Danio rerio: one gene and its partner. The protein of the gene in region 2 purifies or fractionates together with the protein of the main gene of each other region. This does not show direct contact. Links are inferred from orthologs where the notes say so. Each region holds a gene or a part of one and is shown on either strand. Other genes may lie near its edges.

Region 1 (3,759 bases), on a different chromosome or scaffold from region 2:
GCGACTAAAGATATTATGGCCCCATCTGATTGATCTAATTTAGATAAACAATCAATGAAAAAGAATGTATATTGCAAATACTAATATTGCGATAACAATAATATTATGCATTTATTTATATTTGTATTGTGAATGAAGATAAATATACTGTGATGTATTTATTCAGAAATGAAGATTTGAAGTGTTGAGTCTGCTCATGATTAGCCCCGGCTCCTCCATCCCACTGAGAAGCAGCCATCATCTCACATTGTGTGTAACTTGTTATTTTCCTCATTCTCTGCCTGACTCATACGGTGATTGTGATGATCATAAATACAGTTTTAAGCTCTTTGCAATCCTCTTGACATGGGAGGAGTTACTCGAACATGCAAGAGCCACATCCAGAGTATGTCCAGATATTTTAAACAAAAGATTATTTTCTTACAAACACTATCTGCTGCCAGTTACTGCTGAGCACAACACATGCAGATTATTAATAGGTTCATTAACATTCATTCATTCATTTTCTTTTTCAGCTTAGTCCCTTTATTAATCAGGGGTCACCACAGCGGAATGAACTGCCAACTTATCCAGCATATGTTTTTCACAGAAGATGCCCTTCCAGCTGCAACCCATCTCTGGGAAACACCCATACACACTCATTCCCACACATACACTACGGACAATTTAGCCTACCCAATTCCCCTATAAGCGCATGTGTTTGGACTGTGGGGGAAACCGGAGCACCCAGAGGGAACCCACACCAACCCGGGGAGAACGTGCAAACTCCACACAGAAACACCAACTGACCCAGCCGAGGCTCGAACCAGAGACCTTCTTGCTGTAAGGCGACAGTGCTACCTACTGCGCCACCGCCTCACCGGTTTATTAATGTTATTTTTTAATTTTAATTAATTTTAATTTAATTTATTTTGTCAGCAGCAAACGTCCATCTATACAGACAGTTTTGACAATAATTATTAATAATTATTTATAAAACTGAACCATAGTTGAACATTTATTTAGTTAGCATTTCCTGTTACGTTTTAGCAGTTTTCTTATTGCTGCGTTTTTGAGTCATTTTTTTTCCTGAAGAGTTTTTTACTTTACTTTACGAATATCAGGTTTGTTTTCCTCGTTGTGGATCTCACATCTGAAGTCGGAGCTGATGGTCGCTGTGAGCCGGAACGAAAATACAGCACAACTTGTTTCCACTCTCAGTCGGACTTATTTCGTCTAGCGCATAACACACGCACAGTTCAGCATGGACGAAAGCGCGCAGCGGGTACTGGAGCATCTGACTGAGGTAGAGGTTGCTGCAGAAGACATACTCACCGACAAACAACAGGTGCGATTGAGTTATAGGAGCAGTCAATTATCGGGTAATTTCTGTTTTATATGTGGTGTTTATTGAAGTGGTTGACATGTGACAGATTGTGGATCTGGATGTGCGGAGAAACAGAAACCGAGAAGCTCTCAGCGCGTTAAGAAACAACTCACCAAACGGCGAGTACAGACTACAGAATACTGGTTTATAATGCATTAATGGCACATATGCTTGGTGTTGGATGCAGTGTCATGCGTATAAAACTTGTACTACGTATAAAGCACATATATAAGTACACGTATCTTCCAAAGTAATAAATATTTCATTTATAATGTGTCAGTAATAGGGTTATTAAGCTTATAACCACACCTAATGTAACACCCCGGTATGTTTACTACAGGTTTATTTTTTGTAATTTACCCTAGAATGTTTAATTAACTTGTTTTACTCATGATTTATCAGTTCAGTTCACTATGTTGTCATTTTAGTTTTTATGGCTTGAATTTTTGCACCTTTTTTTGTGAATATGGGTTTAAAAAATCATCCTATGGGTATCCAAAATCTAATAATTTACTAATATTTAATATGATTGTATTATATATGTAATATTAGGGATATTCAAACAAAGAAAAGTAAGTTATCATGACTCCAACCACTGAAAACACACAACTTTTTTATATTTACAAAGTTTTTTTTTTTTTGGCACATTTGGGCTCAGTCCCTTTAGTCATTAGGGGTCGCCACAGTGGAATGAACTAAGTTTTCCAACTATTCCAGCACATGCTTTACACAGCGGATACCCTTCTAGCTGCAATCCATCACTGGGAAACACCCATACATACTCATTCACACACTCATACACTATGGCCAGTGTAGTTGATCAGTTCCCCTATAGCGCATGTGTCTGGACTGTGGGGGAAACCGGAGCACCAGGGAGGAAACCCAAGTCAACACAGGGAGAACATGCAAACTCCACATAGAAACACCAACTGACCCAGCTGGGACTCAAACCAGAGACCTTCTTGCTGTCAGGCCACAGTGCTAACCACTGAGCCATCATGTCGCCCTAATATAAATTCAGAAAACTGTTAATTATAAATAGTGAAATCATATTAGCAGCCAATGACTATCACAGTCCAGTATTGTTCACAGTCAGCTCAATAGAGCGGATGTTGTTTTGAAGTCATATTTACATGCCATTTCTGACCAAATATTCAAAGTAGCATAATAAACATTATAGAGAGGGAGTCACAAGCTGACACTGTTGAAATGAATGAATGTGTGTGTATAAAACAAACTTTACCTCAATAAACACATATTGTATTTTACATAAGAAGATGTTCAGAACAAAATAAACACAGATTTCTTCTACAAAGAGCAAAACTAATAGATGATGCCATTTGCTCTGTAATCTTATTTTGTTTGCCTAATGCTGGTTCTCATTTGAAGTTTGTCTCTGCACATGACAATAAAATTGAATCCGATCTAATCTAGATAATGTAAAGGTGTGTTTTGGAAATATGTTCATCAAATTCCCTCAAGAAAGCACCAGATCAATGATCCTGAAAGGTGAGTGTGTCTTTTTCAGCTGTGCTTTTGTGTGAATAACCCTTCACATGTGCCACTGTGTTTAATAAATGAGCTGTTCTACTGTTCCTGACAGACCAAGAGCAGCTTGATAAGGAAATAACAGACCTCCGCACACGACTGAAAGCGAAAGTGAACCGTCTCAATGAGCTACAAGGTAGAGCTGCTTCATCAGTCTCTTGCTCAGTCATACTTATAAATGGTGTAAACATCTGTGCCGAAGACAAGACGTGTTATTTAGTCTGCGTCTTAGTATTTTTATGTACTTAAAAAGCATTTATATTAGTGCTGGACAAAGATTAACCACATCCAAAATAAAAGTTTATTTGTGATGTTTGTGTGTAATATTCATTCATTCATTTTCTTGTCGGCTTAGTCTCTTTATTATTCCATGGTCGCCACAGTGGAATGAACCGACAACTTACCCAGCAAGTTTTTACGCAGCGGATGCCCTTCCATCTCTGGGAAACATCCACACACATTCACACACACAATCATACACTGCGGAGAATTTAGCCTACCCAATTCACCTGTACCGCATGTGTTTGGACTGTGGGGGAAACCGGAGCGCCCAGAGGAAACCCACGCGAACGCAGGGAGAACATGCAAACTCCACACAGAAACGCCAGCTGAGCCGAGGTTCGGCCCAGCGACCTTCTTGCTGTGAGGCGACAGCACTACCTACTGCGCCACTGCTTCGCCCGTGTGTGTATTATATTTATATTTATTATATATTTATGATACTTGCATACATGTAAACAAAACTACAAAACTATTTTGTTACATAGATATTTAAATTTATGGCTACACTTTACAATAAGGTTCATTAGTTAATGCATTTACTAACATGAACTAATCATGAACAA
Region 2 (3,759 bases):
TAATAAACCACATTAAAAAACAAACCAAGGCCACACCAATTCATACCATAAAACATAATAAAAATATACTAATCCATACTAGAAACATACAAACAATATACCAATCTATACTAGAAACATACTAACGGACACACCAATCCATACTAAAACATACTAAAAATATACTAACCCACACTAAAACATACTAACAATATACCAATCTATACTAGAGACATAAACCACACTAGAAACATACTAAGGACACACAAATCCATACTAGAAACATACTAACAAACATACTAATAATATACCAATCCAGACTAGAAACATACTATAATAATCTAATCCACACTAGAAACATACTAACCATATACCAATCTATACTAAAACATACCAATCCATACTAGATACATGCTGACCTATATGTAGTTATCAATCTATGCCGACTGTTTCAAAATTCTTAAAAACTATTTCAATTAATTAAACTTTAAAACTACTTCAAACTTTCAGACTAGTCTCAGTCAATCCACCATAAGTTTGTGAGCAAACTTTACTTTTCAAGTTTCATTTGTTTACCTGCAGTGGAATCCACATTTTCCCAAGCAGCAGATCCTCCAAGAACATCATCAACCTCCTTCAGTTTGGGGTACTTTCTGTTGTTTACCTGTTAAAGCACATAAACAGGTTTGTTTTCCTATTTTTTTATCAGGTCAATGATACTGTCTATGCCTGACCATAAACCTAACCCTCATAGAAACAAGCTTCAATTGTTAGATACTAATAAAAACAAGGATGGTTCAAGGTGATTTATAAGTGTTTTTAATTTTACTGCAAGTTGCTGAGACTTATTTTAGTATGTTGAAGGACCTCAAACTGAAACTGCATATTGAGTAGGGGGCGGGGCTTTCTTTTTGCACATCATTCCCTCATCAACTAAAGGTAAGAGGGGCGTGGTTAGGAATATTGTGGATGCATCTGCCAAACTGACATCATCAGAGAAGGACTGCCACTCCAAACGCCAGAGCAAATGGTCAGACTTTGAAGATTATCAGAACAAAGATTTTTTTTTTCGGTGAATTAGCTTGCATGGATTTATCATTTACCTAAAGAATAGCATTGTGTGCTTGTAAAATAAACACTGTAAATTTGGATTTCACACAGACTTTAAAGAATATATATGCGGAATGTTGAAAAAAACTATCAATGACATAAATAGCAAAAATACTATGACAAGTGGCTCTTCTTTAATATGTCACTGTATAAATACAGTTGTTACCAGTGTCTAAAACAGCGTCATTTTGAATTCTAATCAGAGTTTGAAATTGACTTTTTCACTTAACAGCCAATTACATTTACAGACCAACTAAGCATTGAAAACTTGTATGTGTTTTGGCCATTTGTTTGCACAACAGCATTTTGGGGGATGCAAAAATGAGTTTTTAAGAGCTATCTTTTAAAAACAATGTCAGTAGTTTATAGAGGTGATTTATTTATCCAGGTTTTGTGTTATGATTCTGAAGTTAGTATTGTCATGTGCTATAATTGCATCTGTGTCTTTAAGACGGGAAACAGGTGGCATGATGGGAAGTTTTGTAATGTTACGGAGTTCATAGACACAAGAGAAGTAAAGAGTGGTGGTAAAATGTTAACCTGCGTGTGGCACTGTGGCTGATTTAATTCAGAAGTATGTGCAATTTATGAATGAACATTTGATGATAAGACACACATACATAAGTATCTATGAAGTGACATCAAATATAAACTTTTAAGTATCCAGATGTTTATCCACCTGAAGCTATAACAATATTTCTAAAAAATTTCTAAAATATTTTTAATTCCTACGTTTTCAAGATAATATAAACGAAGTTCTTGGTTTATTAAGTACATTGAGTAAGTTTATATCTTCTGTTAAACAAAAGAAGATATTTTGAAGAATGTTGCTGGGATCCATTGACTTCAATCAACTCTTATTTCCTACTATGGTAGAAAATGGGTGCCAGCATTATTCAAAATATCTTTTAATGAGAATTTATTCTAAAACTGTAAATTTTATACATAAATATAATAACGTGATGAAATAAAGAGCATTTTAAAGTACAATACAATCTTATAATCATTTAACCATTTCATTTAAGTAACTACTCAGTAACCCAGCGTTATTTATCATGCTCTGAAAGCAATGTTTGATAGAACATAAACACTCCCTCACTCAAATCTATTTTTGTTATATAATTTGTAATGTTAGAAACATTGATCTCATCAGATGTTCCTCACACGTTCTCATATTATCGAATCAAGTCATTTCTTTCGTTTCATTCGAATCGAACTTTTAAATGTCGGCGTTCCGTCGAACTTTAATGCGTTCGAATCAAACGTTCCAAACGCTTATTAGATACAAATTTCCATAACCGGTGTTATGCATTACCTTCCTCGTGATGTTGTGCACATATGGACATGTGTTACACGCGAATCTAAAGCATCGCTGTCCTTCTTCCACGATTAACACATTCCCACATGTCGGACAAAACAGGAGCATTTTCAAACAGTCATAGATTATGTTACGTAGTAAATACAGTTATAGTTTCTTTCTGATGCAACTGAAGTTGGTATTTACACACAGTCCTTTCTAAGTCGCTACAGGAAGCACATGACAATCAATGTGCCTCTGTATTATTGGCTCGCCATAAAACGAAATATAGACAAGGATGAACACTGTTTCTGTTGTATATATTAAACTTAAATATATATGAAAATGTCAACGAATATATTAATGCTGATTAAAAAATATTTTAATAGAAGATTGTTATTGTAATAAAGAATGTGAATCATAAAAAACCTATGCGGAACTAAAGTCGGGTGCATCACTGAAATATTCCGACAGCGTGTTTATAAAAATGAAATGTAAAAAGAAATGCTGGAACGGCTCAAATTGTTAAAGTTACAATTTTTAATACAATAAGCTTCTGCAAAAGGCGTACAGTTTTTTTACGAAATTGTAGTTATGTTAACTATTAACGCTTAGTGACTTTTTTATAAGTCTTGGATTTCTATACCCTCAAAACAAGACGTTTGAAGATAAAATGGACGAAATAAAGGACGAAACCGAGCTCAAAAAAGAGTTAGAGGAGAAAACTGTGGAAGATGAAATAAAAGAGGAGCACGAAGAGGAAGAAGACGAGGAGGCTCTTCCACACTCAGAAATTCTGGACATCTTTGAAGAAGGGCTGGCTCTCATAGTGCAGGACCCGCTTCTGTGTGACCTGCCCATTCAGGTGTACATGCAGTCAAGGGGCTGTTTTAAACGGACAATTCACCCAGATATTAAAATGTTCGGTTAATTGACATCCCAAGATTCTGTTCTTAAGTAGAACAGAAAATACGTTTTTTTTTTAAGTTGAGAACTATGTTTTCCTATGTACGTTATCTATATAATGGTGGTCAAGAAGCGCCATCACTTTGAGTTTAATATATTTAAAATCTTCCTCAGAGCTGTTTGTCCAGGTTGTGAATAGCTGATAATGTAGTTGTAAATACTAGAGGGTAATAGTTCCAGCTTAAAATCTTCTATATTCTACAGATTTTTTTTCAACAGTTTCTTCTCCTCTGTGTCAGTATAATGCTCACATTTATGTGCCGCGTTTGGTTGCACCTCTGACTTGCTTATTACCTCAAATGTGTCTGTGAATTGTTTCAAACTAAGGAAGTCATAGTCAGTACATAAGTGCACACCACTCGTGAACACATGCAATACACTGAGGAGAAGAAACTGTTGAGTAAAGT

What was found. Proteins that work in one complex are often made in the same cells at the same time.
Region 1: the proteins of polr3k (region 2) and pdrg1 purify together in Homo sapiens (affinity purification with mass spectrometry; 3 studies listed by BioGRID and IntAct, with this or other methods). This does not show direct contact. The link is inferred for Danio rerio from reciprocal best matches to the Homo sapiens genes POLR3K and PDRG1.

The regions. Positions count from the first base shown.
Region 1 is NC_133186.1:392,450-396,208, forward strand, and holds the start of pdrg1 (p53 and DNA damage-regulated protein 1), read left to right. Parts: upstream 1-1,208; 5' UTR 1,209-1,243; coding exon 1,244-1,327; intron 1,328-1,412; coding exon 1,413-1,485; intron 1,486-2,800; coding exon 2,801-2,875; intron 2,876-2,969; coding exon 2,970-3,050; intron 3,051-3,759. UniProt on the Homo sapiens protein: May play a role in chaperone-mediated protein folding.
Region 2 is NC_133178.1:45,547,173-45,550,931, reverse strand, and holds the start of polr3k (DNA-directed RNA polymerase III subunit RPC10), read right to left. Parts: upstream 2,641-3,759; 5' UTR 2,516-2,640; coding exon 2,405-2,515; intron 644-2,404; coding exon 556-643; intron 1-555. Other genes in the region: snrnp25 (U11/U12 small nuclear ribonucleoprotein 25 kDa protein), read left to right, coding at 3,060-3,251. UniProt on the Homo sapiens protein: Core component of RNA polymerase III (Pol III) which synthesizes small non-coding RNAs using the four ribonucleoside triphosphates as substrates. Can mediate Pol I proofreading of the nascent RNA transcript.